Astyanax mexicanus: one gene and its partner. The protein of the gene in region 1 interacts with the protein of each later gene in a biochemical or structural test. Links are inferred from orthologs where the notes say so. Each region holds a gene or a part of one and is shown on either strand. Other genes may lie near its edges.

Region 1 (16,793 bases):
GACCTAAAAGGGGTAGCCAATGAAATGCAGGTATAAAACCTCAAAACCTATATACTGCAGAACTTCATATCATGTAGACAATCGCAAAGGACCCATTACTGTTCTTAATCTAGAAATGACTGATTGAGGCACTTGCAAACGATACAAAACGGTATCATACATGGCAGCTGTTTTAGTATTTTTTGCAGAAAATGAATGGACATTTGCAGGACATTAATGTAGAAATAAACTGGACATTATAGTACCACCAGTTTACTAAATCTGAATAACATCTTGCAGAGGCCACTTTTGTGTTTACGTTGGCTTTTATCATTCCTTGATCTTTCTTGTCTTCCCCTGTTGTGTTTATATTTGAGTTTCAAGACACGCAGGCCTTGTTTCAAACTGTCTGGTTCTTATTTTTCGCTACAACCATGTACAACTGTAAAGAAGCTTTGTTCATAACCATATTCCTCTGTGTGACAATTACCATTCTTTCCATTAAAAAATAAAGTGAAGAAATCTAATCAGAACAGAAAATAACTGGTGCCAGATCAGAAGTAGAAAGTCACAGCAGCTTTAAGCAGTGTAAACAGGCTGCGGCGAGCTAGCCAGGAGGACCCTGAATGACCTGCAGTCACATCAGCTGGCCGACGCCGACTCAGTCCTGCGTGCCTCAGACCGCCGGACTGGCCAGGCCTGGCACATGCTGAATGACCTACAGTCTGCAGACATCTCCTACCACCCCCACTAACCAACCTTCTCTCTCTCTCTATTTCCTCCACTTGTCTCTTTACTCACTGCCTGCTTTTTTCTTTTGAAGCCCACGTCTGGACTCACTGCCTGCCACATCACGAGAGACTGCCTTCTCCAACTGATCCAAATGCTTCTGGAACTGTTCAGACAGAGAAGAATTGAGAAGAGAACAGAACACTCTCCACTCAACTCTCCTTTTAGAGGAAGCTTCTTTTAAAACCTCAGTTGAAAACCCTCAATTGAGAGGTTCTTAAGGGAATCTAATGTTGTTTTCTTCTGCAGGGTTTAGACATTTGGTTTTTAGAAATCCAGATGTATCCAGATGAAGACTACCTAGCTTTATGGCCTAGACTTGATGTACTTGACATAGTTTTTAAATCTAGCTGTAAATCTAGTTCAATGACATTGTGATATATCACAAATCATGTTTCACTTGACTCATGTCAAGTTCGTATCAGCACAGGAAATAGTAGAACCACCTGGAACCCTTTTGGAAAAGCTTCAGTCCATTTTAAAGCTCAGAGGTGCTTCAAAAAGAAATATCAGACAAAATACAGATAATCAAAATAGTTATCAACATAAAAATGGTATCATCTTTACCACTGCAAACTGCAATGATACTTCCAATTCATGTTTACAATCAAATATATTCTGTAGAATTCATCAACCCCCCCCCCCCCCCAACCAAAAAAAAACAAACACCCAAAGTCAAACAGGAAAAGCCTTGCGGAAGCACTGGGCCATGGAAGTCATTATATCTCCCTAGAGTGAATCAGACCTACATTCTGCAGACACAAACATCTGATGGGTAAAACAAGCTAAAATGACTAGCGAGTAGCCAACTTTAAATCCATCAGCACACTCGTCAGGACCAGACCAAAGAAAAACACTCAAAGTTACTTGAGCCATAAAATAGAAAGTTGTGCTCAAATTCAATCAAACAACATTAAACTCAACATTAACACTGTGAGGAAAATAAATGATTTCAGTTTGACACTACATTACACCCGTAACATAGCATACTACAAGTGATGGACAAAACATCTCATCCATGGTAGATGTTTGCAGGACTTCAGTAAGTGCAGAATAAAACACCTACAACATTCATGTTTTGGATCATTAGTTTCTGTGGCAATTTGTTATCAGATGTGATCAGCACTTAGTCTTAGCATTACTGCCCAGGTCAGGTAATTTTTTGGTGGAATATATACATTCTGTTTGACCAGCAGAGGCAAATAATTGCTTTTGTGCTAAAGCGTGTTGAGCACCATTTCAAACTAAGTGTAAAGCAACTACTTTAAAGTTTCTGTTAATCAATTATTCTGTGTTGTTTCAATATATCATCATTCAAACATGGCACCAATTGACCACGGGGGGTGAAACACATTTCACAGTGGCTAGAAATGGAGGTATATTTGCTTTAGGTGAAAATGCAATCACTTTAATCCAACAAAGCTAGAGCTTTCTGTGTTACTTTACCATTTACGCTAATGTAACTGTGGCCTACTGTTGTTTATTTGATAAAATGTTGTACAATTAATTTCTATTAAAGCCGTATAAAGTTACAAGTGTATCCACCTTTTTGAAAACATATATTAAATTAAACAAAAAAAACCTTTTTAAAAATCTGCTCTGAAATTGTTGAAGTTGAGCATGACATTTGACCAGGTGTCCCAAAGCTAGCTTCAAAATCTAGCATTGTACTCACACTGAGTGTAGGGACACTTTTGGTGCTGTGACATTTAGCCTCAATTATAGCTAAATGTCAGCACCAACCAACCCCCAACCCACCTCCAACTCTCAGACAAAAAGCTACACTTTTCCACTCCATTTAGAAAGTTTATAACACAGTCAAACAGCAACTAACTTCCATTTTTCAGTGACTTTACAAGAGCTAATTATCCTGTCCTGTCTTTAAAGTGTTCCTCAGCTGCTTTCAAGCTTCGAAACGAACAAGATGTCACGAAATACAGCCTCAGTCTTAAGAAGTGGAGATGAGGGTTTTTAAACTAAACAAAAGCTCTGGATTCCACCCCAAACTGTGCAGCTTTGATTAGACTGTAATTAAGGTTCAACATTTGAGCTGCGTTTAGCATTCTTTAACATCTTTATCTCCTAGCCCTCCTTATCTGCCCATATATGAGCACACACTCACAGCCTCTCTCACACGCACACACACAAGCACAAAGAAGACAATGGTTTTATTTGGTGAATGCAGTTCTCCTGAGAATGACATAATGGAATTCAGCATAGAAAAAAGCCATGCTTACTTTACTATTTAATCATATTAGCTTCCCTCGCTCTCTTGCTCACGCTCTCTGGCACGCACTGTTCCTCTCTCTGTCTGTAGACTCTAACACATCAGCAGGAGGATAGCACAGCAAAACTGAAGGGTGTAAACGGGCTTCAACAGTTCTTAATGTATTTTACCCTTCCGAAGTCTGTCTAAATTGTTTGCATACACAAACAGCTCTAACAAATTTAATGAAGAACAAAACACTTTTCCATGATATTGTAAGAATGAATAAAAAACAGACACAAACATATGCTTGCTATTATTACAACTTGCTGTGTGCTCAATATAAATGTACTTCATTATAGCACTTAGCCATCCTGCATTTGAACCATGTTAAACAAAATGGTGTGGTAGTCTTTCTTAGTTTGTCATGGGGAGGAGAACCTCAACTGAATGCTAAGTGGCGATGTGTTTTTTAAGGATGGGAGCCTTTCAAGCCACAACTACAAGGTAAAATAATTACTGTATGCTGAATGTTTTTAGAAACATTCAATAGCCATTTCAGATAGTTACTAAAATGGCTGTTTGTATTGTTGATATCCTGATCCATGGTTCTCACAATAAAATCTTTTTGTGGTCAAATTTAATCCTGATTCAATACTGGAAGTCCATGAACATCTCAGGCAAGTTGTTGCTCACTAACAAAAACTGTTGGAATATCGTTTTAACAGTTCTTCTCTCACTAGTTGCATTGCCACTCTGGCAGACAGAGAGGACTGTGGGATTGTGTGATATCACTAGGTCTGCATGCATGGCACAGGCCCCGTGTGGTTTTCTGAGCATCTGGAAGAACACAAGACTGAAGAACCACATTCTGGGTGAGTGCTGCAACAGGGATTCAGGTCAAAGAGTCTTTTCCTCTCTCTGTTATTGAAACCACGCAAGGAAAGTGTGTCTGTGTGTGTTTGAGTTTGTCGGTGTGTGTGTTTGGGGGAGATGAGTACAGTTTGTGCCAGTCTGTAAGAACTGGCACAGTTTAAGGGACAGTAAGTATTGCATATAAGTGTATCTGTGCTGTCTGGAGCATTAAAGCAAACTTGAAGACAAGCCACTGTGGGGACATCTGTGGAACAGATGAAGACCGGCTGTCTTCTTTATAACGTTAATAGCATAGCTCTCGTCAGCTCTATCAGTTTAACAGATGGAAATAATTTAACTCTCTACTACTGTTATGGTAAAAGTAAAGTCCATCTGAGCACAGTCTGTGAAAAAATGTCACCCATTAGGTGTCAGTTCTCCATATAAAATGTCTTAATATATGTTGCTGTGTCTGCAGGGCTTTCACCAATACCAGTAAATCGTTGGAGCCTCAATATAAACCAATATTAATTGGCCATCCACTGTACAGTTACAGTAATACACCATATGTAGAATTATATATGTATAAGGCCAAGCCACATGAAAATGCAAGTTTAAACAGAGCCAGTCACTTAAACCACTTCAGGAAGTTCTCTGAGAAGCATTTAAACCAGGTTATAGCAGTGTAAATGCATTTGCCTCACAAAGTCGCTGGGCACATGATCCGTGTCCGAGAAAGATAATCACGGAAAACAGCAACCATCTTTAGGACCGCGCAGGAAGAGGCTAAACAAATAAAGCAGATCTGAATAATCTGTGAGCATCGCAACCCCGGTTCCTTTCATCATCATTGTAAAAAAACAGTATGTAAACTACACATGATGAGTAAAGTATTAACATTTTTTATTAACAGATTTACAAAAGCAAGATTACATTTGAATCTCACATAAAGTCTTAAAATTGAGTTCCAATGCCAAAAAAACAAGTCCTCGTTTTTCCTAAAACTGCAGGAACATTATTGCATAAACAGATCAATAAGGCTGTACAACAAACAGGAGAAAGAGAACAGTTCACTAACCCCTGAGCAGTGTATAAACACAGCATCTGTGTTCAGGACCTCATTCTAAAGTCTGTTACGCTAATAAATAAAAAAACACCAAAAAGTGTGGAAGCAAAGAACTACATACGCCATTAAAATAGTTAGTTATTTGATAATTAAATTGATAGATTTCACAAATTTCTTTACGGTTAGAAAACATTCGGAAAATGTAAATGTCCTGCCCCAATTAAAGGTTTCTCCTAAAGCTAGACATCAAGTCCACCTTTACTTTACATATTGCACAGAAAATACACTTGAACCTCTATAGGAAGCCAAACCCTGCCCTTCTTCCCCATCAGCCCCACGGAACAGTACAGATAAAAGGCTGTAATAACTTCATATTCCAACACAGCCACCCAAGAGGCCTGTTATTCCCTAATTCTCTGTTTGCTTTGTTGGTTTGAAACATAGTAAAAGAATTGGGCCACATTTGAAATCCCTTATGGCTGACATTTACTGGCCCACTGGGGTCTGGCTGCTCTAGAGCTCCCTCAGCTGTGAAATTCAGGGCTCCCTACCCCTTGCATGTGTCATCTATCTAAATCTTGTAGAGCTACTAACCGGTAATAGAGGCCTGGACAGACCTGATGATGTAAGGAGTGAAGCTGTTTGAAAGTGATGCTCCGCAAGGACTTGTTTGTTTACACTGGAAAAGAGAACAGGTCAGAAGAGCAGCAGCTGTGAGAAACTGCTCATACTACGAGTTTAACGTCAAAGAGGTCTTCCTGACTCACTTGCTGCAGTGTCTGGAAACGTGTTTATCTCTTTTACGAAACAATGACGTTAATCGTGTCTGGCGCTAAAGGGCTCCAAGCACACACCTATTTTTTCACTAACACACAAGAAATGTCCCAATTAGCAGCACACGATCACAGTGATACTGTAATTAAAACAACATAAGAAAACTGCTTAACTTCCAGTAAAATTTAGTCTAAAAAGATTTCTCACATTATATCGTTGGCAAAAGTTTTTGGACACCTTCTATCTCATTATTCTTTCTAAAATAATACATAAAGGCAGCTATCCTCAAAGTTAATGCATGAAAGATCAGCAACACCAGAGCATCAGCAGGTCAACCAGGGTAACCTGCTCGGAATACCAATACGAGCCGGTGGGCTGCGATTATTGTCCCTGAGCCACTTGTAGGGGGACTGTGCCTTTCTCAAGGGGTGAAAATGTAAAAATGAACAGCCAAGAGCTCCTTTCAGCTGCAAATTAGGACACGGGAGAAAGCCAGGCCTTGAAAGAGTGAAAAAGAGCAGGATGAAAGAGAGGGAGGGAGGGAACGAGGGGTGGGAGGAGGAGAGGAGAGGAGTTAATAGAGATGGAGGTCTAGGAGACTTCACTCGTCTCCTGAGCAGCCCTGTCAGAAAGAGCAAGGGAGGCGTATAGAGACAGACAAAGTTTTAAAGAAACTTCCCAAATCAGGGTTGTTTACAGTGATGGGGAAGAGAAGGCCTCTAAAAGCTACATTACATTAATTAAACTACATCACATGAAATTAAGCTGTTATGAATACACTGCCTGATGCCTGAGACACTGATTTATGACAGATTAGAGAATAAAAAAGTAAGTGCCCAAATGTTTTATTTATTTAAGGTTTTAATTGTGGAGGAGTTAACTCTGGGTGTTGTACAGCAAAATAGTCCCTGGAGAAAACTTGGTTCTTTGTTCAGATTTATCACTTTATCGCGATAACAACATGCACTCTAATCTTAACTATTTAATAGAACAGAAATTAGAGAAGCTCCCCTTTAAGGCCAGCCTAATTTTTACAGTTTTAAATTCTGAAAAACCCTCCCCAAATATAACTGTAGATCATATGACAGCAAAACACACCACCTCATTTCCTTACAGTGGACACAGACTTATCCCCAAAAGTTAGTCTTGAAACAATTGGACAGCTTAAAAAAACAACAAAAACCATTTCAATAACTACAAACATTAGACTAGTTCTGAGGGTTGACAAAACTGACAAAACTTATGCTTCACAGTCCAAATGTGACGTCAAGCACCTCAAGCAGGAAAGCCCATCTGCACAAACTTAAAGAGCCGGAATGCAGGAGAAAAGTGGCATTTGCATTGCAAAATCATGCAAAGCAGCGCAGTCGCCACCACAACAACAATAAACAAACAACAACAACGTGCAACGTCACTGCGTTAAAGCTTTTTAAAGTTTTATTTGTTGCTTAAGACGGTTGCACAAAGTCGACGCTGTGTTGTACTGTATTTGCACATGACAACAACAACCTCGACAACAATAACAACAGCAGCAGCAGCCGGAGCAAGAAAAGTGAACTTTCACGATCGATATGTGTTTGTTCGCTTGCTTTTTTGCACTGACTGTCTTTGTTGTTTTGTTGCACGCGCTAGGTGCACCGTACCAAGTCAAGCCAACACAGATAAGCACACAAAACAAAAAAAGTAGCGAGTCGAGCTGCGATTTTACAGCCTGTCAGTAAAAGCATTAAAGTTAGCACTCACTCCTCGCTCCAGATTTACGTGGCTGTGCACGGCGGAGGAGGAGGTAGAGAGAGGGGAGAGACAGCGAGCGAGAGAGAGAGACATTGAGAGAGCAAGCAAAAAGAGCACCGTTCGCTCAGCAGCTCTCACCTGCTTTACACGGGTCTTTGTAGTCGATGGCATCCGGTGGCTCCTCGTAGTAAGTGGGCTCGAGCGCGTCCAGCTCGACGCTGAGCAGCACGCGCAGGGCGGAGAACAGAAGCAGCAGCGCGCAGCTCGCGGCGAGATCCATGATTCAGCCGACAGAGTGGGACACACGGCGCGGGGGAGAGAGTGGAGGACTGAGAGCTGAGGGAGAGGGAGGCGGAGGAGGAGGAGGAGAGAAGGAGGGGGATTGGTTTTAGGGGGGGAAATGAGATCCGCGGGGAGGGCGGGTTCTAACAGCACGACTCTGCCTCCTCTCCGCTTCTCTCCTCTCTCTGCCTGAAGATCCTGCTCGAGCTCAGGGGCTCCGCGGCTGCAGTGACGTGACCTGCGGAGGACAGGAGAGGGATCAGAGGCAGGGGTCAACCAGACGAGCCTCACACACACACACAATCTCTTTAACCTCACCTACATAATGATAAACTCTGGATGAACTGTATTTAAGGTGGATGAACAATCAAATATGATTTATGTATGCCTGTAATGTATCTTTAGTTAAAACGTTACCAATTAAGTTAACGTCAGTTCAAATGTTTCTGGTAGTTTAGTTGTTTATTTCACTTTATCATGTTATTTATTTATCCAACTTTAAATTGGATGTTTTGGTATACAATAAAGTATAAAGAAAATAAAGTATTTTCCCCCTACAGATTCCTTTTGCTTTTGTATTTTTGTCATACAGATTATGAAACATATGTTAATATCAGACAACGATGAATGTAAATATAAAAAAATCACTTTTTAAAGGATCATTTTATTTATTAAATGAAAAAACTAATAACTTGGTTGTGCCAACCTTGGCAGCAACAACTGCTATCAGGCTTTACTAATAACTAGCAATGAGTCTTTCACATCTCTGTGGAGGAATTTTGGCCCACTTTAAGATCATGCCACAGCATCTCAATCTTCTTCAGTATTGTCCGGTAAAAAGCAGAATTTCTGGTTCTAACCATTACAGGAAGTTGTCCAGGCCCTGAAGCAGCAAACCAGTCCCAGACCATCACACTATCACCACTAGTTTTACATTCAGTTTGATGTTCTTCTTCTAAAATTATGTGTAAGTTTACGCCAGATGTAACAGGACACACACCGTCCAAAAACTGTCACGTCAGCCCAAAGGATATTTACCCAAATTCCTGGGGATAATTAAGATGTTGTTTGGCAAATGTGAAATGGGCTGTTGTGTTCTTTTTGTTCAGCAGTGTTTTTTGCTCTGAATTTTATTTGCCTTGGACATTTTTCTTATTATTGGATCATTAACGCTGACCTTAACTGAGGCCAGTGAAATCTGCATTTCTTTAAATGTTGTTCTCGCTTCTTTTGTGACCTCCTGGATGCATAGTCCATGCCTTTTTGGAATCATTTTGGTCGACCGGCCACACCTGAAAAGGTTCAATAGTGTTCCATGTTGTGTTCATTTGTGAATAATACCTATCCACTGGAGTCCCAAAGCCTTGGAAATGACTTTGTAACCTTTTTCAGATTGAAAGATGTCAATGACTTTGTTTTCTCATTTGTGTTTGAACTTCATTTATAATGTATTGCATTTTGAGATCTTTTCGCTGCTTCATGTTGTCAGACAATTTCTATTTAAGTGATTTCTTGATTCTACATGTCTGGCGGCTAATGAAATTAAACTTAGCTATCCAAAAAGTGTGATTAATGACAGTTAATTAATGGGGGGCGAACACTTTTTTTATGAAGACCTATATTGGTTTTAATAGTTTTTTCCCTTAATAAATGAAATCATAATTTAAAAAGTGCTTTTTTATATTTACTCAGGTTATAATATATTTTATTATATATTATATTAGATATTTATATTATCTAATATTATATATATATAGTTTGATAATTTGAAAAATGTAAGTATGACAAAAATGCAAAAATAAAAGAACTCTTTAAGGGAGCAAATACTTTTTCACTGTACATATTTATAAGTCCTGGGAGGCCAAATGAATGTGATCAATCAAATTACTCTTTTAATGAAGACTGTACATCTTTACATATAGAAGCTGCCAGAGAGAATCTCAGTAGACAGACATTTGCTTGCTCTCATATAACTTATATATAAATGAGAGAGAGAGAGAGAGAGTATCGGCCAGTCCACACATTGTGTGTGTTTAACTTATTTAACCTTTCATACCCCCAAAAAACATTGTCTATTCTTAAATAGAAAAGAATTACTCTGATAGCAGTTAATTATATCATGCAGTAACATTTATTTAAAGGATACGGCTTGGTTATCGTTAAATGTTTGTTAGCTAACCTGACTAGCCAACTAGGTTAACATAAACAGTTGGAAGAAAACAACGAATTTCCTCAAAAAATAAACAATAAAATGACATATTCAGCCCGCAAGAGTTATTAAGATATAACTTTTAAAGTTAAATTACAACCTGCATAGCTAGCTCTAGCGTTTTTAGCTACCTGAAACCCCTGATGTGAAGCTCCTCACCGAGGAGAAGTCTCTGAAGTGAATTGACGGTTAACGGTCAGCGCGGGAAGCGCGCGCAGTAATTTAAACAACTGTGACTGAGCTCGTGACCCGCTGCGCAGATTCGCGCTGATCTACCTCTCACTTTACCCAGTACTGTTTGTTTATCCAAGTTCAGAGACCTGCCGCCTGAATTCTGAATTTAGAGACCACCGTTTTTGAACCAGTTTCTCGGATTTTACTATTTATAGGTAGATGTTTAAGTAAAATGAACATTGTTGTTTGATTCTATAAACTACGAACAACATTTCTCCCAAATCCCAAATAAAAATATTGTCATTTAGAGCAATTATTTGCAGAAAATGAGAAATGGCTAAAATAACAAAAAGGAATTTGTTTTCTTTCCGGTAAGAGTTCAATATTTCAATATAAATCAATATTTGGTGGAATAACCCTGGTTTTTATTTCACAGTTTTCATGCATCTTGGCATGTTCTCCTCCACCAGTCTCACACTTTTTGGATAACTTTATGCCACTCCTGGTGCAAAAATTCAAGCAGTTCAGCTTGCTTTGATGGCTTGTGATCATCTATCTTCCTCTTAATTATATTCCAGAGGTTTTTAATTTGGTAAAATTAAGGTAACTCTTCATTTTTAAGTCTCTTGTCTTTTTTCCAGAGCTGTAGTTACTTGTATAGTGGAGGACATTTTCATTTAAATATCGAAGTGTTTTTGTTAGGTTTATTTTATTATAGGATTATCCACCTTAAGGTGGATGACTGTTCTCTGATAGCAAATAATATTAAATAAACACACATTTTTTGGTTGAGTTACATCTTTTAAGGTGGATGATGGAAAAAACACCCTTTATATAACATTGTCTAATAGGCATTTTGATTTAATGTTGAAATTCTGACACTAAATTAAAGATCATTTACATTACATTACATTACATTTGGCAGACGCTTTTGTCCAAAGCGACTTACAATATTGAAGTGCAAATAATAGAAGAGGTTAAGTACAAAAATAATAGAAGTTAAAAATAAAGCATCTATAGATAGGGCCTTAAGGAGGTCAGAGGGAAATAATGGGATAGAGGAGTAGAGAAGAGGAAGAAGGAGATGAGGTTAGAATTAGTTAGTTTGTTAGAGGTGTTAGGAGAGTAAGTGCTCTTTGAAGAGCTCTGTCTTCAGGAGTTTCTTAAAGATAGCGAGAGATTCTCCTGATCTGGTAGTAGAAGGTAGTTTGTTCCACCATTGGGGAACTCTGTATGAGAACAGTATGGATTGCTTTGTGTGAGTGTTTGGCAAAGCGAGGCGACGTTCATTGGAGGAGCGCAGCGGCCGGGAGGTAGCGTAAGCCTTCAGGAGCGAGTGCAGGTAGGAAGGAGCCTGTACTGTCATCACCTTGTAGGTGATTGTAAGCACTTTGTATTTGATGCGAGCAGCAACCGGTAGCCAGTGGAGCTCAATGAGCAGCGGAGTGACATGTGCCCGTTTTGGTTGGTTGAAGACCAAACGTGCTGCTGCATTCTGAATCATCTGTAGTGGTTTTACTACACAGGCCGGGAGGCCAGTTAGTACGGCATTGCAGTAGTCGAGGCGTGAGATTACCACAGCTTGTACCAGGAGTTGGGTGGCCTGTTGCGTCAGAAACGGTCAAATTTTTCCGATGTTGTAAAGCGCAAAGCGGCAGGATCGAGCAACTGAGGCCACATGGTGCGTGAAGAGAAGCTGGTCATCAACCATGACACCCAGGTTCCTAGCAACCTTTGTCGGTGAGAGAGAGAGAGAGTCGATGGTTATGGCAAAGTTGTGTTGAATAGAAGGTTTTGCTGGTATGACCAGAAGTTCAGTCTTTGAGAGGTTTAGTTGGAGGTGATGTTCCTTCATCCATGCGGATATGTCTGAGAGACACTGTGATATTCGTGCAGAGATTGAGTGATCATCTGGTGAGAACGACAGGTATAGCTGAGTGTCGTCAGCAAAGCAGTGGTAGGAAAAACCATGTGAGCGGATAACCCGACCTAGAGAGGTGGTGTATATTGAGAAGAGAAGAGGTCCCAGTACCGAACCCTGGGGAACCCCAGTGGGTAACGAGTGAAACTCCCGTCCAGAACAACCATGTATGTGTTTTCCTCAGACGTCTTCTGAGAAAATTACAGGCAGAATTACCTACTGTTTTTCACTGAACATTGTGGTCATATCTCAGAGTTTCGTCACCTCTCCTTTAATAAAATTTTCCACTGCCATGGTGCATGTTTCCACGGAGATTCACTTAAACACAACAGTGGAAATGGAGAAGCTACTGATGTCATGTGACCGACAAAGCCAAACAAGTCACTCGTCCTCCTTTTTTTTCAGTTGCAGTCCAGATGCAATAGTTTTATTACTGAGTAGAATTGTGAAATATTTTTCACAGCCATCCCCCTGAGAGACTAATCCCATCCAGATAGGGCTAAAGACATACTGTAACCTATGCAAAGGCAGCTCTATTTGGAACATCCTGTATTTATCATAAACAAGTAATTTACATATATTTACATATTTACATATACACACCTACTCAGCCTATAACCCAGTTTATACAGTGCCTTGCAAAAGTATTCAGCCCCCTTGAACTTTTCACATTTCACATTTCAGGCTTTAAACCTAAAGATATGGAATTGTAATTTTTTGTGAAAGTCCATACCTGAATCCAATCGAGAATCTGTGGAAAAAGCTGAAAACTGCTGTTCACAAATGCAAAAGGTGGCACTACAACGTTTTAACGCAAGTTTTTTTTTTTTCTAAAAAAAAGTTTAAAATATCCAATATATTTCGTTCCACTTTGCGATTGTGGCCCACTTGTTGTTGATTCTTTCCAAAAAAAAAAATACAATTTCATATCTTTATGTTTGAGGACTGAAATGTGGCAAAAGGTTGAAAAGGTCAAGGGGGGCGAATACTTTTGCAAGGCACTGTAGCAGGATAAAAAGAGGGTTTTAGCCTGACCTGTTTTTGAAAAAGGTAAAGTTCACTGCAACCAATCAGACAAAAGCTAATTTACATACCAAAGTTTTTTGGGATTCATGATTTATGATGTAAAATTAGTTCTGGCACATAAACTCAACACAATCTGGCATAAATGTTGTAAATGGACATCATGAGAAGAGGAACTTAGCATAAAAATATTTTTTTGTTTGTTTTGTTTTATAGTTAGAAACTTAGTAACACACAGCTGATAGTGCTTTATATTACAGACCCCATGAACAATCATGTTTAGTAGTTTAATGAACTTTAATGAAGGCTTTCCCTAAGAGAAGCATGTTACCAGAGAAATTGTATTCTCTAGAAAAATTGTATTCGTGTACAATTTGGCAAACAATGAGAAGAGGCACACAAAGTCAATGCTAAACTGGGCCTGAATAGAATGCATAATGTGGCGCCACACCCCAAAACCAGCAGATATTCTGCTCACTTTCTTGAGCACTTTTTAATGTATGAGTATCGTTAGAGTGCCACCAGGGTGATTAGTATGCAGAGCAATAGTAGACCCCTATTGATCCGCTGACAGATCTGCCGGAGTGTGTGATATTGATGTTCTTGTACACTATCTGAGCGCATAGCTACAGCTTTGTGTTCATAGCATTAATCGATGCTGCGATGCTGTGTGAAATTAGTCTGTATGCGTCCGAAGTCGATGCTCTTTTACGGAGTGCTCGGGCTAGAAGGAGTGATGTGAGCTTGTGAATTGCACAACATGTTCTGTATTCTCACATAACATCGACATGTGCAAACAAAGCACTAATTCCTACTCTTTATAGTTAATGTGGATCATCTTTTAGGCCTATATCTTTTCTTCTCAGAGACAAACCGTATTATTCTCTTCTTTTTACAAAAATAAAAATGGTTTAAACCTTATTAAATCAGTTTTGACTAATTTATATATATATATTATAGGCCAGATCTTTATGTAAAATATGACCTAAATAACTCCCACACACCCATTATTGAATGTATTCAGCTCCTGATTCAACCATTAAACTGCACATGGTTGGGTTAATTTTCTTTGTACCTAGTCTAAAAAGTTTAAATAAATAAATTAACCTCAACCACTGTTGTCACTTCCTCTAGGGAAAAATATGGCATTGACATATGTAATGTTCTCAGTATTTTTGTATAATATGTTGAGAATAACTTAATTGTATTTGTATCTGTAGTTTTTTGCAGTTTACATATACCAAGCTGACGACGAGTCTCATACAGAGTTTCCCAACGGTGGAACAAACTACCTTCCAGTACCAGATCAGCAAAATCCCTCGCTACATTTTACAAAGTCCTGAAGACAGAGCTCTTCAAAGAGCACTTACTCTACTAACACCTCTAACACACTAACTACTTCTAACCCCATTTCAGTTCTTCCCCTCCTTTCCTACTCTAACCCATTATTTTCCTAAAAATATTTTTGTCTTGAACTTCGATGTCCTCTATTGCTAATGTATATCATTATTTGTAAGTCGCTGTGATTGAAAGTATCCACTAAACGTAATGTAATGTAATGTAATATAATGAGTCAAATTCACCTACCTCTAGTCCTACAGTGGGCCAAATACAACAGAAAGGAGGTTGACAGACACTATGTTTAAATGGTTTAAGCCCAATATAAGCAATTTATTGTACTGTCTTTAATTGCACTTAAGTATTTATTTACCGTTATTTAGAGAGTATATTGTCAGTTATATAAATTGTAGACAACATCCGACTGAATGTAGTAGTTAAGCAGTTGCTGTTTGTATACATTTCTAGTAATTTTCTGAATCAGCTTAACTCTGAATCATAGTAAACTTGTGAAATTACACAAATTTCAAAGAGATCCACTTTGCCAAACCGCTTCCAGCTGCTTTCTGTTTAGCTCACAATTCAGATGTCAGAGCTGGGATTGACATAACAAGTTGGTGGCATTCCAGCATTTCATTATTTTAACACTATTTAAAAACATTCCCAAAAAGTACAGTTAACTAAAGAGTTTAGAACAAATGATATGACAGACATTAGCAGTGTATTGGAGAATCCAACCAAAATATGTCCTGTTTTTATCCAAACACTATGAAAACATATCCACAGATAGAAGTTGGACAATACAATGCATGTTTCTGGATTAATAAGACACAGATAGAAGTACTAAAACTATAATACTGAAGCTTTTCTACTGTTGATGTGTGGTCAGGGCCTTCTCAAAGCATTTGGGTGCCCCAAAGCAACCTCTTTTATTTTTGTTCACATTTTTATTCATGAGCATGTGGTACCTTGTGTTGTAGAAGTATCATTAAAGCTGAAAAAATGGTGCAGACTCAATTTGTGTTGATTTTGAGGCCATGATACCACTAGATACAGTTTCTCAGAAAATTATCTCAGAAAATTGAAATATTATATAAGACCAATTGATACTTTTGGCAGTGTGGGCAGTGTGCCAGGTCCTGCTGGAAAATGAAATCTGCATCTCCATAAAAGTTGTCAGCAAAGGGAAGCATGAAGTGCTGTAAGATTTTGTGGGAAACACTGCACTGACTTTAGACTTGATATAACACAGTGGACCAACAGCAGCAGATAACATGACTCTCCAAACCATCACTCATCATCAGTAAAACTTGCATTCAATTTGTAAATTAAGGGACAAGAGTCTGTAGGAAAAGTGGGGAGACACACAGTTCAAGCTGCTTGAGGTCTAGTGTGAAATTTCCACAATCAGTGGTTTGAAAAGCCATGTCATCTGCTGGTGTTGGTCCACTGTGTTATATCAAGTCAAGATTTTACAGCACTTTTTGCTTTCCTCTGCTGACAACTTTTATGGAGATGTGGATTATAAATGTCCTTCCAACTTTGGGAGAAAATGTAGGAGAAATTTAATGCTCAGTTTGTGCCATCCATATCATTATCACTGTCACAAATCACTGAATTAAAAAAAAATTACAGAAGTGAGGGTAATTTTTTAAAATATTTTTTTATAGTTTTTACATTTTAAATGGAAGTCAATGTGTGTTATAATAAACTGAAGCAAGTAAATGATTCTATATGTTATATAATGAGTCTGAATACATATTACAAGTCACATTTTTACCAACCTCTGCACTATTTACACACTTGTACAAATATTGATCAGGTCATTGAACCCCTGTGTAATCATTTATGATGTGAATTTCGTTTTGCTGTTGCTCACTGGAATTAGATCTTGATACGTGGCATTAAAAGCATGATCACAGTGGTGTCAGACAGGCAGGGTGTTTTATTAGCCGAGTCTTCATTACCTCAGCCGCTCTGAGGCCACGCTGGTCCTGTTATCTCATCAGGGTGAAAAGTTCAAAGGTTAAGTCCCGCAGTGACCTCAACCGAATGAGACGTGACCTGTAGACCTGGTCTGAAAGTGATTATGTCTGCAGCGTGTTGCCAAGGACAGACCAATATCCCAGCATACCTAAACTCAAACAGATCTGCTCTAAAACTCGAACACAGCCTATGTCCTTAAAGTGAAAACCCTTTAAATATGTTTTCATACACTGTCAAAGTGGAGAAAACTCTCCACTTTTTAAATTTTAAGGCAACTTGCAATTGGTTTGCTATAGTTTACAGTGCAATTTAATGTTTTTTTGTTCAGCTGATTTAAAAATCCCATTAAGGAAAACAAGGCTTATTTTTTTAACTGTGTATGTTCTACTAAATTCAATGATTAAGATGTAAACAGAGTAAGTTTGGTGCAAAGGTGTCTCAAAAAGCTCCCCCTCAG
Region 2 (16,971 bases), on another chromosome or scaffold:
ATGCATTTGAGCATCGACAGACATATACATGTGTAATATTGAAAATTGGCATCAGCCCAGAATTCCTACATCAGTGCATTCCTATTGGTTAAAGAAAAATTCTCATTGGTTATTCAATAATTCATAGAGGTTACTGGACAATTTTACTGTGGAACAGGTATTCTTTGATTTATAGAAGTTACTTAATCATTCATTGCAGTTACTGAACAACTTGTATTGATATCGAAATAATAATAAGAATACTTACTTAATATACCATAGCAGTCACTCAACAATTTGTAATAGTCATTCATAGTCACACTTACTAAATCCTTCATAACGTTTCATCTACCCAGTAATTCACAGTGGTTACTGAAGAATTTATCGTATATTTATAGCAGTTAATGAATCATTTATAGTAGCTACTTAATAAAGCATAGTAGCTGCTAATAATAGCTATTGAATGATTCATACTGATTCATACTGCTGCTCCCTACAAGTGGAACAAATCTCTTTACAGCAATAAATCTGTAGTAGATTTTTTTATATAGTCTGAATCCCTGGCAATTGTCTTCTTCTTTGTTTAAGTGATTCTACATATTAAGGGTTTTAGTCTTTTATTGGACGGGGGTGGTGGCGGTGGTGAAATTGCTTCATTTCAATATGGGGGGGCACCCCCTCTCACTTGTATAACACCCCTGCTGGCACTGGAAGTCAGTGTAAGACCTCACAAGTACAGTAATTGGCTACATAATGTATGTGTGTGTGTACCCATGCAAGTAGCTCTCAGTGGGGAAGAAATGTCCCTATGATGATGGAAAAGTGAGGATTTTTGACACCCTGGTGCGATTTTTTTTTGTCTGAACCAGGACTTCTGTCAAATTTAAAACTGCAGCTTTTAATTACATTAGAAAATGTTTTTTTTTTTTTAAATAATCGTGGTTAAAGATAAGAATGAGTTATCTGTAAATGTAATGCTGTTCCCCAAAACATGATACATCCACCCCCATGCTTCACAGTTGGCAAGGTGTTCTTTAATTTAAATTTTAAATTGTTTTATTTTTGCCAAAATGTTCTTTGTTTGCTAAATGGGGACAAATAGAATAATTCTATTTTGGCTTTAGTAATCTACAGCACTACTCCTCTACCTTCACTAGCTTTTCTATGATCACGTCAAACATTGAGTTTCGTCACAGTTAAGATTTTATTCTTATGACTGAAAATGTTGTGTTTCTGAAAGCAATCATGCACTGGAAAACAGTGCACCACCTTTTTGACTCATCTAAACCTTCATGCAGGTGCTTGCCAGTAATGTGGGACTTTTTCTTGGTTTTCCAGATCTCATCTTGACTTGGGTAAATCTTCTCTGTCTTCTTATACTTTGTCTTTTTTAGATTTTCACACAGTAGCCAAGAAAAGCTTCAAAACACAGTTCATCATGCTGTAATGCACAATTCTAAGTTAAAGCTGGATCATATCAGAAAAAGCCATGTGTCAAAACCATTCAGAAACACAACCGCCACTGTCACAGTGCAAAATATGCAAGAGCATTTCACAGACAGGTTCAAACAACTGGTCTCAAATTATCAAAAATTTACAGAATTGGAAAAATAAGGGATAATTCAGTGGGGATAATTCACCTACCTCAATGTACTTTACTAAACCTCACCACACCTCGCTGTTGACTTAAACACTTATTATTCATTTTACAGTTAAGACTACAGCTAATACATAACTTATAACTTAAATTTAATTTATTTTTGTAGTAAAGTATTGTCTGCATAGACAGTAGTAAGTAAGATATAAATATAAATAAACTATATGTGCATATTATACATATATTTTGTAAAACTCAGTGTTGGTGCTTTTATTTTTTATTGTAATTTGTTGTTATTTTTGTAATTGAGAGATATTGGGAGGGAGAGAGAGAGAGAGAGAGAGAGAGAGAGAGAGAGAGACTGAGGTTTTCAGATTGAGATATTGAGAGATTGAGATATTGAGAGATTAAGAGATTGAAATGTTGAGATTGAGATATTGAGAAATTAATAGATTGAAATATTGACAGATTGAAATATTAAGAGATTGAAATATTAGGAGATTGGGAGACTGAAATCTTAAGAGATTGAGATATTGAGAGACTTAGATATTGAGATATTGCGATACTGAGATATTGACAGATTAAAAAATTAAGAGATTGACATATTAGGAAATTAAGATATTGAGAAACTGAAATAGTACGAGATTGCGATATTGAAAGATTGAGATATTGAGGGACTGAGATATTAAAAGGTTGAGATATTGAGAGCCTGAGATATTGAGAGATTGAAATATTGACAGATTGAAATATTAAGAGATTTAAACATTAAGAGATTGAGATATTGAGAGACTGAAATATTGACAAAATAAAATATTAATAAGTATATTAAAAGAAATACTGACAGATTTAAATCTGAGAGAGAGAGAGAGAGAGAGAGAGAGACTGGGTGTGAGGGGAAGTAACTATTATTGCAATACACAAAAGGCAACCTTCATTATAGGACCATAATTGGGGTCAATTTTCCTCACTCTCGCCCCCCCCTCCCTTTCTCCCTCACCCTATACCGCTTCCACCCCGCTTCCTTAATGAATCGCGGAGCAGCCAGCCCATAATAACCCGGTTAGCACCTCGTGATTAAATGCTAACAGGCCATTATTGATTCTCACCCGCGTTACCGAGCGCATCCTCGCGCTAAACTGTTAACTCATTTCGGAAACGCTAATACACACACTTACTCACACACTCTCACCCGCTCACTCTCACTCAAACTCTCACACACACCAGGGTTAGTTTCTCTAACTTAGTAGGGCGTTTTCAACACCTCCTGTGCGCCTGTTACAAGGTATCTACCCTTACAGCAAAGAACATTGAATTAACGTGCGTGTTTTTTTGCTACATCGCTTTTAATAAGGTTGATGATTGAAACACAACCTTTTTTCAACCTTTATTCAACATCACCAAATAGGCATCACCAGGTAATGTTGAAATTCTGACGTTGAATCAACTTTCATTTAAAGGATTTGAGTGATTGGGCTAAGCATTTTTTATAATTATTATTTATTTGTCCTTATATACACCGCAAGGCCAACACAGTGCAAAACTAAATCGAATAGAATAGAAAAAAAGATATACATATGTTGGTAATGTTGGTAAAGTTCTATACAAGAAAATACATTCAAATGTCTGAGATCAACGTTGATTGATCATCATTTTGCTACCTGGATAGTTAGCTACATTAGTTAAAGAGCTAAGCGTTTAGCGTTTACATATTTAATGTCCCTAAAACAAAAAACATTGAAGAAACGTTCCTTGTTTTTTTGATGCATTACAACTTGTAAGGTTGATGATGGAAAAACAACATTTAAACAACCTTCATCATTTGATATTGCCTAACAGGAATCATAGGTCAATGTTGGAATTCTAACATTTAATCTATGTTTATGTAAAGATTTTGAATGGTTGGGCTGGGCTCTAAATCTACACTTACATAAATGTTTTAGGGTTTTAGTTTTTATTAATTATTTAGCTAAATGTCGCTAAATACACTGCAAGACCACACAGTACAGGCTATAATAATAGAATATTTAATGTAAGTAAAGTTTATTACAAACCACACGCATGAAACAATACCGATGGGCACATATAAATCAATTCTAAGTCGGAGATCAAAGTTGTTCAAATGCATTAGCGATTAAAACGTAAACGTTGGTTCAGCATCATCGTGCTTTTAAATGGCTTTAAAGGCTCGAAAGATAAGGCATGTAAAAAACAACGTAAAACGTTTTCTCAATCCTGAACATTCTCCCCAAGGTAACCCAAAGTATATTGTGGTGTGGGAATAAAGTCTGGTCCGTCTCGCATGTCGATTAACATCGTTAAGGTGCTGTTAAACCGTTTGTTCGCCGACATTAGCAGCTCTTCTGGGTGCAAGAAGTCAGTAAGAGGCCGTGAGAAAACTACCCCATTGAATACCCCCTTTCAGACCACCCTAAAAGCCCCCCATTCACGCCACCACGCGCCCAGTGGCACACCCAATTTCCTCCACATTTCCTCAGCGCTAATCTGTATTAATGGATATTAATAGGAAATTAACGCCATTTCTGCTTTCCTTTGTTAACTAGGCCATGGATACCAGTTCCTCTCACCTTCTCTCTCTCTTACATTCTCTCACTCTATGTCTATGTCTCTCCATCAATCTCTATTGCTTCCCTCAGATTTATTTAAAGAAACCCAGACAACACAAGAACTATGTTAAATCAACGTTTATTTTTAATGCATTCAAACAAGGTTGATCTCCGACGACAGAATTTATTTCTTTGTGCACAAAGATTTTACATTGATTTAAAATTATGGTACAATAATATGAAAGATGTATATACATTTTGCCATCAGTAAGTCATAAACAAACCAGAAGGTTTTATACTTTGGATTATTCTAAGTACCGCATTTATCTTTGAGGACATATCTGCATACTTTTGGTATTTTAATCTAAGTGTCTTCATGAGGAAGAGTCATCTGGAATAGTTTTCTCAGCATCTTGAAGGTGTTTCTGGAGGTGCTGAACAACAGTTGCTGCTTTCCTTCACGCTGTGAAGCTCCAGCTCATCCAAATCACCTCAAATCACCATCTCAGTTCATCAGGTTTAGATCAGGGGATTAATGTGGAGGACTAATACATTTTTTTTCTGTTTACTATGTAATTCCATATGTATCCCTTAATTGTTTTTATCTTGAATATTAATCTAAATGCATAAATTAAATTAAAAAAATCAAGAAAAAAGTTTAACTCTACTGTACGGTTTGTATAAAACTTGTATAAAAATCACACATTAAATATGTCCTGATTGTATTCTATTCGTATAGCCTGCATTGTGTTGTTCTTAGAGTGTAGTAAGGGATTTTTAACTAAATAATAATGATTAATATTTGCTAATATTATTATATGTGAAAAGCACGTTTTACCTAAACGCATTAACTAATTTGAAAGCAGATTCAGAGCAGATTCAACCAAATCATTTAAAACCTTTAAATGAACATTGATTCAATGTCCGAATTTCATTAACATCAACAGATGATGCAGCATCAACAAACAATGTTTAAAAAAAGGGTGAATAAAAGATGTGTAAAGGTTGTTCTTTTTTCCATCATCAACATTACAAGATGTGTTGCAACCAAAAGAAAGAATGAACGTTTGCTCAACGTTCTTCAGTTTTGGGAAGCCTCAGTCTCAGAAGAAAACCCCACTCCACTCATCCACTCACTCTCCCCGCACTCTTTGTAGTTTTACCTCCTACAGGTAGAGAACAAGCTCGTCTTTTCTATTTTCTCTTTTCTCTTTCCAATTCACCCCACCTGCCCCCTCCCCACCCCAGTCAGTGTTCTATTGCCCGTTTCCTCTCTCTTGTGCCCCCATTCTGCCCTCTTTAGCATGTGCATGGTGAGCGGGGTGGAGGTCCGGAATGAGGCGCTCCCTCCGCCCGAGCTCCCCGGGTCTTTATTACGCTGTTATTTTTATTTTATGGTTCTATTACCCCGTTAGTCCGACCTTATTTACCCCTCTCTCACTCTCTTCCTGAGCGGGAAATTGCCGCCCCCACCCGCAGAGAGAAACCCACACTGAAACCAGGCAACACGATATAACCCCCCATCAGTTAAATAATAACTTTTATTATTATTATTATTATTATTATTATTATTATTATTATTATTATTATTATTATTATTATTATTATTTGAGACTGACTGAAATAACATAAAATTAAATTAAGATAATAAGGATAATAAAATATAGATATATAATAAGATTTATTTTAGAAATTATTATTTAGTACTTAACTAAGCAATTAAATACTTAACTAAACGCCATTTAAATCAATAAAATGCTAAAATGTAGCAAATCTAAACTTTTTAAAACTACCAATTAAAATTGTTAAAAGAAATCGAATTAAGGTTTTGAAGAAATGAATTTTAAAAATAGACAAACCAGAATTAGCTAAATATATCATGGACATATATTTACCAATGGTAAAATAAAAAATAGTTAAAAGCTATTTTACAAAAAATAAAATGCAGAATATGTATTTATTTCATTTAAAGTAGAATTATGTTTAAAGTAGAATACATTTATTAAAATGACTATTGAAAAAAATAAAATGTATACAAAAAAAATAAATGAAAACATAATAAAAAAATAACACAATGATTAAAACAAATTAATTACAATATTTTTTAAACATAAAGGTGTTATGGTAAAAAAAAAGCAAATAAGCTGATATATTTAACAAAACGTATTATGTTTATCTAATTGATTAGATAAATAGTAAATATACAAAGCAAAAAATTTAAATAGTAGAATTAAATGGCATTGAAAGCAACTAACAAAACGCTATAATCATTAGGAAGGAAATTAAAATAACTCATAAATGAAAGGAGAACAAAAGACAAAGGAGCGAAATGAAAGAGAGGGAAACTGTTCGTTGATGTTCTGATTGATGTCCGAAAGTCATTTTGCGGCTCTTTAATGAGTTCACATTATGATGTGATTGATCTAAATCGGTTTGCGTTTGGATGTTAAAGTCGCAGTTATTTAAAACATTGACCGGTTCTTTGTTCTGGGTTAATAATCAACTCTTAAAGACAATATTAAAGGATAAAAGATTCTGATGAGCCCTTTTATCATCACAGGGTCACAGGTGTTTTTTAGTTTTATTTTTAAAAAGGCGCTTCTAAGGTTCCTTTCGGAATAAAAATCAAATAGCAGTCGGGTTTTAGCGGTAATGCGTTGAAAGAATACCGCATTATTATTTTATCGGTTTAAACGGAAGGCAATCTGTACCGAAGTATCGCTTTGGGTTCGTTAGGTTCGTCCCAGAGCTCTGGGGGTCTCTGAGAAGATCTCTGAGGTGTGTTTTTACAGTTAGAGCTGACTGATGAGGAGCGAGGAGGGTCCAGACCTGCGGTGTGAAGATCCAGGTTTAGAGAACAGCAGTAAATATGACTGAGTGTCTGCTGGGAAAGTGTCCTAAAACAGGAGGGGGGGAAAGAGGGAGTTAGAGGGGTGGATGGAGGGATGCCAGTGGGGGGGGGGATGAGTGTGAGGTGCTTCTGGATTTTGGAGGTATTCAAACCATCTTTATTTGTTTCTGCTAAATCACTTGAAGTGTCTTACAGAGTGTAAGGCCTAAATAAACATCCAGGACACACACACACACCAGCGCATGTATTCCTGCCTTTGTGGGACAGCACATTCCACATTAGCCACCTGAAATCCAAGGATGCTGTTGTAGTTATGCTATAACTAGCCTATACACATTAAAGCCCAATGATGCTATCAAACACACATATACAGTACCAGCCAAAAGTTTTAGAACACCCCTATTCATCCCCATCTTCAGGTCCAGTCAGTTTGTTACAGAAAATGGTAAAAAAAAAATCCAGTGTAGAAAAAAAGTAAAAAAAAAAATAAAATAAAAAAATTAATTTTGTTTTGTATAAAAATGGATATTGTAAATGTATACTTTACAAAAACTTTAGCAAACAATGCATTGGTTAACAGCATACGAATTAGAGTTCTGACAAGTGAAGTGAAGTATTAAAATCATTGATAAGATAAACTAAGATAAAACAACTTGTCTGGGTCTTAAAAAAGTGCTTAAAAGTGAACACACAGATAAGTTTAAACGCTGCCTTAGCTTCATAAAGTACCATGTATTCATACCTTTATGGGACATTTCCTGTAGATGCTAACCGATAAAGACAATTCAAATCCTATAATTAGCTAATACACCTTAAACTCTAGAGATGCTAACACTGCTAACACACATACACAAATAAACACACACATATGTGTGCAAATGTATTCAGCATGTATTCATATCTTTATGGGATATTTCCTGTAAATGTTACCTGCCAAATGCAATGTCAGTGACACCATTAGCTAATACACCACAAAGCCTAGTAATGCTAACACACAAACACACAGATAAGTGTGTTAATACTTCCTAAATGTCTCACAGTAGCATGTATTCATAGCTTTATGGGACATTTCCTAATGCTAACTCCTAAACACAATGCCAATGTGAGACAGAATTAGCCTACACACACTAAAGCCAAGCTCTCTCTTTCTGGTTAGCACATAGCTAGTGTGTGTATTACTGTATTTGAGGGTATTTCCATGTGCTAACTACATTCCAACACAGCTGTTAGCCAAATTTACCCTACACAGACTAAAGCCTAAAGGTGGCTAGTGTGTATTTCTGTCTTTGTTGGACAGTTTCATATGCTAACCATAAGTCAGCATCACTTTAACTAAATTAGCATGCAGGATAGATGGAACACACTGCTAACCTGACTCTAGACTGAACACACACACACATATTGGAATGTATTTCTGTCTTTGTGGGCCATTTCCTTATGCTAACTGCACATCAACACCACTGTTAGCCAAACAAAGACAGGAATACACACTTATGTGTGTTTGTGTATATATGTATGTATGTATATATGTGGAATTGGGTTAGATATGTAGCACAACAGCATTCACACATATGTGCTTACCTTAACTTCACACACACAAACACACATTAGTGTGTATTTCTGAAATTCTGGGCCATTTCCTTGTACTGAATGCATGCAAATGTGCAAATGCCACTGTCAGCCGAACAAAGACAAACAAAGGAATACACACATATCTGTGTGTAAAATCAGGTTGATTCTGTAACCCTGTCACCCTTTTACCACTGTTTTATTATTTAGTCCCCACAAAGAGATAAAAACACACAGACATGATCTTTTCCTATGGTATTCTAATTTAGGGATAATTCCACACAGTCTTTTCTGTGTATTTGTATTTCTATTTTAGTTGGGTTCTTCTGTATGAGGAGGTGCTGCACCTAGCTAACCCAATCCTCATCTCAACCTCCCCCTCCATCTCCCTCTCTTTCTCTCTCTCTCTCTCTCTCTGTGATGCTAACACACAAACACACACCAGTGTGTATTCCTATCTTTATGGGACATTTCCTTATGCTAACAGCATAGCAATTAGCCTAGAGATGCTAAAACAAAAATTGCACAGATGTGAGTGTGTGTAAAAGGTGTTATGCTAACAATTCTAAATATATATATATATATATATATATATATATATATATATATATATATATATATATATATATATATATATATATATATATATATATGTAACGCACAAACACACATACATTTGCTTATGTGTTTGTGTATTCCTACCTTTATATGGCATTTCCTTATGCCAATAACTGTATAGTCAGTTTAGACTCTTTTTTAAATGATGATATAATGATATATAAAATACACAGGTCCCCACAATGTCAACCTATACAGATTTCTACTATGAGGTCCCCACAAAGTGATAAATACTTAAGGCTTAATATGGTACTTGCATTGCAATTTTTAATTACTATTTATTTTAACATTTATTAATTTTTTAACCTGTCTTAACCTATCAAACACACACTTACACATAAACACACACTTAAACTACACACATTCACACCACAGGTAAACCCACGCCCCCCGGTCCAGACCGCCCCCCCCCCTCTCCCCCCACTCCCGTTTCCCCTCCCCTCTCGTTTCGCCCGTGTATAAAACCGACAGGCGCTCGCGCAGAGTTATCACAACTCTCAACTCAGACTAACACACACATACACACTCTCTTACACACTGCACTCTCACAAACTCTCCTCCAGCTTTACTGAGGCAGACGCCGCTTCTCACGATACATCAGCTGGACTTCTGCTGCTGCTGCTGCTGGATCTACACGAAGAGACGGACTTACTGAAAACACAAAGATAAAAACAGAGGGAAGAAAAGGACGAGTGCGCTTCTATTCCTTCGCTTCTTCTCCTCCTTCTTTATCTCCACCTCGAGGATGGATGTCCTGCCGCTGCTTGCCGCGGTGTGTGTGTTATTCAGCCCGCACACACTCGCACTCGCTTCCCGAGCCAAGGCGCCTGCGCTTCCCATCCAGTCCGAGAGAGAACCGCTGCCTTCCAAAGGAGTGTCCGGTACGGCAATGTCTGTGTGTGTTCGTGTGTGTATGTTTAGTATTTAGCACATTGTGGGGACCTGAAACTATCTGAGGTCCCCAGAATGTTGCAAAACCATGTGATATAATGATAAATTCATTTTAAGTAAGGAATGACTTAGATGCAGCACAACATTTCTACATATCTATTAATTGGATTTACTATACCCCACAAAAGTATAAATGTAAACACAAAGACTGTGATGCCAGTCAATAAGTTAGTTTTATTATGTTGGAGTAAAAGTGAGTGGGTAAAGATAGTGTTGTTTTTTTAGTAAGGGTTTAAGTTTAACTTTATAAGGAACTGCATTTAAGCAAATAGAATTGGAATTGTCTCACAAAGATAGGAATACAAACAGAACCGTCTATATGTATGTGTGTGTTTTAGCATCACTGAGTTTGAGTGTGTGTCCTAATTCAATCAAATACTGGCCCTGACAAGTCTCCAGTTTCAGCTCTGGAGGTCAGTCTCTCCCTGACCCGCTCCTGGACGTCTCTCTCTCTCTATCTTTCTATGAGTCTGTTAGTTGTAGCTGAGGGGCTTTCTGACACCATTCCAGATGCCTGTAACCACACACACTAACACACACACACACACACACACACACACACATCCCCTCCAGCCGTCTCTAATCTCTTCCAAATCTTACTTTTTGTCATTTTAATCAAACCAGTCAGAAAACATTTTAGTCATACCCTTGTTCGTTTTAACCCCCTCTTTCCCCTTGTACAAAAGCCTATACACACTTAAGTTCCCACAAAGAGATAAAAACCAAAAAATGAAAACACACACAGACATTATCTTTTTGCATGGAATTCCAATACAGGGATAATTTCACATAGTCTTTTTCTTGTGCTTGTATTTCTATCTTAGTGGGGTTCTTCTCTAGGAGGCTGTGCTGCACCTACTTATCCCACTCTTTACTTCAACTCTTTACTCTTTCAAATCTGTATATTGAACTTCCAGATGCGGAAAGTCACAATTTATAGTAGGCCTGTATGAAATGATGAAATGATCATTGTTCCTCAATATAATACTCTCTCTCTCTCTCTCTCTCTCTCTCTCTCTCTTTCTCTTATTGTGCAGGATGCTCGTTTGGTGGGAGGTTTTACTCTCTGGAGGATATGTGGCATCCGGATCTCGGAGATCCTTTCGGTGTGATGCACTGTGTGATGTGTCACTGCGAACCAGTAAGTCCCACTTATGCACCTCACTGTTGATTTTATCTCCTGATAAACAGAAAGTAGTTCCGGCAGGTTAGAGTCCTGATACTAATGAATTAATATACTCTGTGTGTGTGTGTGAGCAGCAGAGGAGCCGACGTGGGAAGGTGTTTGGGAAAGTCAGCTGCAAGAACATAAAGCAGGACTGCCCCGAGCCCAGCTGTGACGACCCCGTCCTGCTGCCGGGACACTGCTGCAAAACATGCCCTAAAGGTACCCAACACACACCCTCTCACTTAGAAATATATATATATATATATATATATATATATATATATATATATATATATATATATATATATATATATACACAGTGTATACTCTAAAACACACCCATACACACACCTGCAAACATGCACCCTCGCAAACTTTCCCTTACACACACACACACACACACACCTGAGTAATTGTATGTTTTCCTTCAGCTGGTGAAACTGAATGAATGGAAAGAGAGTGGAGTGTTTGGGAGGCCCTGACACACACAGTGTTTATGTTTCTGTGGGAAAGTGTGTGTATGTGTGTGTGTGTGTTTGCGTGAGCCTGTTGGAAAATCCCTGGCTGTAGCTTGAGATGGATAGATGGATGGATGGATGGATGGATGGATGGATGGATGGATGAAGGAGTAAATGAAAGATGGATGGAGTGCTATAATTTCTGAAAGTGCTTTCACACACTCACATACTCGTTTATATATTCACCCCAGACCACAAGACCACCTGCATTCGTTTCTGTTTTTAATGAACGAATGGGTAGAAATGGTGAAAGAGCACTCTTTCATTGCAGTGATTTCTATTACATATTTTTCTGCACCTCATCCAATTAAACATTATATTTAATATCCTCAATATATCCTCGATATGGCATAATCTGAAAACACTTTCTTGAGGAATGCACCCAGAGAAATGATCCAAAGTTACCTGAAATAAACTCTTTTTTTACATTGACTTTCACTGGAGGTTAAGACTTTTTTTGAGATTTTAATTGGACAGCGTTGATATCATGATTTTATCATTATAAGATACAGTATCATTATATTGCCCAGCTCTACAATATCATATATCCAGCATCCAATACCCAATAATATAGTATTAACCACACACACACAGTGTTAGACAGTACTGTTCATCATCATTATTATCATCATTTAAGCAGCTAATAAAGGACTGTATTGTGTATTGATGAGCTGATTGAGTGTGGAGTCTGATTGATGTTGTGTGTGTTTGATGGCAGGTGATTCAGACAGGAAAGCCACAGAGTCTCTGTTTGACGGCTTCGAGTTCTTCCAGGAGAAAGAGGACGACCTTCACAAATCTTACAACGACCGGTCCTACCTCAGCTCCGAGCAGATGAACACCGGAGACAGCAAGACAGGTCAGACAGACAGACAGAAACAGATATATACACACCGATATACATGGACTTAGACTTTATACAGCTTCCCATATCTTTAATTCAGTGTTTCACTGTGTTTTAATCTCTTTTTCTCTTGTTTCTGTAGATTTCGTGGCCTTGCTGACGGGTGTGACGGACCTGTGGCTGCCCAGTTCCAGCGGAGTCGCCCGCGCTCGCTTCACACTCACCAAAACCAGCCTGGCTTTTTCCATTACCTACCAGAGGTAGCTAACATACACACACAACCAACCAACCAACCAACCAACCACATATACACAAACACACAAACCTCACACATAGTCATAGTTTTTCACAGATATGAAATAATGAATAGCTAATATTCTGGTGTGGAGCAGTGGATAACACCACTACCTGCTAGTGAGCTACCACATAATGAAGGAGACTGGGGTTAAATTTCCAGTCTGGGTGACTGAATGCTGTGCTTCACCATAAGAGTGCCATAATGGCAAAATGATATAAAATGTAATAAATGTAAAATATTCTGATACAGTATATAGTATACTCTATTAGAATATAGTATACACCATAATACTTAGAAAACCATTAACTCTTTATGACACATTTTTGCCCTCAAGAATCATACAATAACATACCTATTTCTAATGTATTTATTTATTAGTTTATTTATTTTAAAATAATCTTATGTATGTTTACGTCTAATACAATGAGATAAAATCATAAATAAAAATATGCATGCATGTTTAGGTATCTATGTGCTAGAATATGTAAAGAAGTACAGAAGTACTGGTGTTTGGCTGTTTATTGGCTTATTATTATGGTTGCGTTATAAAAAGTTCAAATGAAAAAATATATTTGATTTAGATTTATATTTCCTCCTGAAAAATATATAATAATGCTATAGCGGGTTAAATTATACATTTACTATACAATTCACATTTGTTACTGATGTTTTATGAAAGCAAGTACTTTAATACATTGTAATAGGCACTGTAAGAGTACAAAAGTTATATATAGGAAAATATATAAACTTTATTCTGTTATTGTCATTTCAGGATTAACAGGCCAAGCACTATCTTGTTTCTGGACTCCGAGGGAAACACAGCTTTCGAGTTCAGAGTTCCTCATGCAGAGTCAGAAATGGTAAGGAAAGAACGCTTCAGTGTGTGTGTATATGTGTGTGTGTATAATGGTGTAAATCTCCTCCCAATGCTTTCACAGTATAATTCCTATGCTATCCAAACACAGCCAGCAGCACAGTGTGCGTTTCAGTGTGTGTTTCAGTGTGTGTGTTTCAGTCTGTGTGTGTGTGTTTCTAGATGTTTGTGTCATGAGGTCAGTGGCATTGGGAATGCTAAAGCTAACGTTAGCACCGGCGCTAAAGAGCAGCCGAATCGCCGGCTCCCTGAGTTACGAAGTGTTTGCGCCACTAAATATTTGTTTAAGCGTTCCTGTTCAGACACAAATCGCCAGAGAGGCTCTTCTGGAGATGACAAATATGCTCACACACACACTAATATGCACACACTAACACACACACACATACACACACTAATTCACACTCACTGTTGTTGAACAAGTATCCATAAAAGGCAGTTTAGCAGCAACTTAGCTAGTTTAGCTTCAACTTCTTCTTAAGCTATGAGCTTAATATTATTCAGTACTTCAGTACCTATACTGAATGTTTATATGCTGTGTGTGTGTTTGTGTGTAGATTTGCGGTGTTTGGAGGAACCTGCCCAAGTCCCACATGCGGCAACTGCAGGAGGAGCAGCTCCGGGTCTCCATTGTAGCCACGGATGGAAGGAGGGAGGAGATCCAGGGGAAGATCATCAAACACAGAGCACTGTTTGCAGGTACAGAACTGGCCTTATTGTTGAGATGTTTGGTCATCCATTGTTTCTGTTGCTAAAATCAAGGGAATTTCAATGCTTTAGTTGGATAACTTTAGTTTTTTTTTTATCCCAATCCTAAGATTTTTTGATGGAGCACCATCCATCCATCCATTCATCCGTCCATCCATTCATCAAGCTCCACAGTTTAAAAGCTCAATGCTGGGAAGCTTTCTACTTATCTAGCCAACATTTTCATTAATCTACAGAGATTGGATATAGGGCTGCAATTAATGATTATTTTGGTAGTCGACTAATCTGATTGGTCAATTAGTCAAAGATTATTTCTTGCTTGTCTTTCATTTCTAAAAGATGTTGTTTAAACATCACCCATTACCCATCTCCCATGGGTAACAAATTAACGATTAGTTGACAGTGAAATCTGTAGTTCCAACAATTTCAATAATCAACATTAATTATATGGATTTTATATCTAATCGTTTCAGCCCTAATTAACTATAGTGTGTCATCAACAGTTAAACATACATTGTTTTTTTTTTTTTGCTTAACTACACATTAGCAGTAAAATTGTTGGGTAACTCTTCTTGCAGAAACGTTTAGCGCCACTCTGACGTCGGACGAGGAAAACTCCGGAATGGGAGGAATCGCCATGCTGACGTTGAGCGACACCGAAAACAACTTGCACTTTATCCTGCTCATGCAGGGAATCATTCCACCTACGGAGAAAGGTGAGTCTCACACACATACTGTACACACACAAAGCATCTGCTTTCTTTTGGTTGATTTATATTTATATTAATATCTGTTACCTGCATTTCTCCTTTAGCGTCTCCTCTGGTGCCGATCCGAGTGAAGCTGCAGTATCGCCAGCATTCCCTCAGAGAGATACACGCCAATGTTACGGCTCAAGTGAGTACACAAACACACACACACACTCATACACACATCCCATCTTCCTCTGTAAATCTCAGACTCTTTGTTCCCTCACCAACTTTCTTGGCTCTCCTGAAAAAATATATATATAAAAGTGTGTGTGGGTGGGCGAGTTTGAGTTTTAGTGTGAGTCTTTCTTTCTGTTAGTTTTCCGTCGGCCCTCAGAATTCCAGACGATCTATAGAGCTTGACACACGTGTGTACATACGTTCTAATCTTCTGTGTGTGTCTGTGTGTGTTCTAGGACCCCGACTTTGCTGAGGTCCTGACCGATCTGAACAGCCGTGAGCTCTTCTGGCTCTCTCGGGGGCAGCTGCAGATCGTTGTGGAGACCGAGGGTCACAACGCCCACCGCATCTCCGGCTACATCACTGGGAGGAAGTCATGTGACAGTAAGTGTCCAGCAGCCATGCAGTCAGTGAACCAGTCAGTCTGGAATCTAGTCAGTCAGGCAATCAACCAGAGAGTTATTAAGCAGTCAACCAGTCAACCAGTCAGTCTAGCAGTCATTGAACCAGTCAGTCAGGCAATCAAGCCAGGCAGGCAGTCAACCAGCCATTCAGTCAGTCAACCAGTCAGTCTAGCAGTCAGTCAACCAGACAATCAGGCAACTAGTCAGACAGGCAGTCAACCAGTCACTCAGTCAAGCATTCATTAAGTAGTCAGGCAGTCAACCAGGGGTTCAGTCAGTCCACCAGTCAGGCAGTCAACCAAGCAAGCAGTCAGCCAGTCACTCCATCAGTCCCCCAGCCAGTCTGTCAACCCATTGTAACAGTGTGTATAGTCTGATGTGAATCCCTGAGGCGGACCCTTCTGCTCCAACAAATCGGGGGTTGAAAAGTTGAGGGCGAAGAGTTGAAGGCTGCAGGTCTCTGCTGTCGTAAATTTCCTGTCAGGTTGCTGTAATTACTGCGTCTGTTCCACAAAAAACCCAAGCACTTTCTCATGTGTGTTTGTGCATCCTGCCCCTGCATACACACACACACACACACACACACACACATATTCACATTCACATACACACACACATACACACACATATACACACACATATACACACACACATACACTGGCAGGTTCTGCCAAGGTCGCAGGCTGCTGGCCCTCTTCTCTCTGCACTGTTCCAAGCTCGTGATTAACAACCTGACGTTATGAGGGGAGAATTCAAACAAAACCTCTCTCTCTCTCTCTCGCTCTCTCTCCATTACTTTTTTTACTTTATTTCTCTCTCTCTCTTTATATTTGCTTTCTCTCTCTCTTTTTCTTCCTCTCTCTAATTGCTCTGTTTTCTGAGTTTATGTCTTTTTCTGTTCTTTCGCTCTGTGTACTCCCTGTCCTCCCTGTTTACTCGCTCCTCATTCTCTTCTGCTCCCCATTCTCTCTCTCTCCCTGTCCCATAATTCTCTGGGGCTGACATCATCCTGACCGCGGCGGCTGACCCTAGATGAGTTAATCGGTGTTTGATTGCTTTTCCTTGGCTCGGGCCGGCTTCGTTCTTATGACGGGACATG

Evidence for each region.
Region 2: of the proteins of bmp1a (region 1) and chrd, one has a biochemical effect on the other in vitro, tested with the Homo sapiens proteins (3 studies listed by BioGRID and IntAct). The link is inferred for Astyanax mexicanus from reciprocal best matches to the Homo sapiens genes BMP1 and CHRD.

Annotation. Positions count from the first base shown.
Region 1 is NC_064419.1:26,972,373-26,989,165, forward strand, and holds the start of bmp1a (bone morphogenetic protein 1a), read right to left. Parts: upstream 7,908-16,793; 5' UTR 7,684-7,907; coding exon 7,542-7,683; intron 1-7,541. UniProt on the Homo sapiens protein: Metalloprotease that plays key roles in regulating the formation of the extracellular matrix (ECM) via processing of various precursor proteins into mature functional enzymes or structural proteins.
Region 2 is NC_064425.1:10,790,427-10,807,397, reverse strand, and holds the start of chrd (chordin), read left to right. Parts: upstream 1-9,673; 5' UTR 9,674-9,923; coding exon 9,924-10,059; intron 10,060-11,166; coding exon 11,167-11,270; intron 11,271-11,389; coding exon 11,390-11,516; intron 11,517-12,533; coding exon 12,534-12,674; intron 12,675-12,801; coding exon 12,802-12,919; intron 12,920-13,729; coding exon 13,730-13,817; intron 13,818-14,388; coding exon 14,389-14,530; intron 14,531-15,117; coding exon 15,118-15,255; intron 15,256-15,353; coding exon 15,354-15,436; intron 15,437-15,704; coding exon 15,705-15,852; intron 15,853-16,971. UniProt on the Homo sapiens protein: Dorsalizing factor. Key developmental protein that dorsalizes early vertebrate embryonic tissues by binding to ventralizing TGF-beta family bone morphogenetic proteins (BMPs) and sequestering them in latent complexes.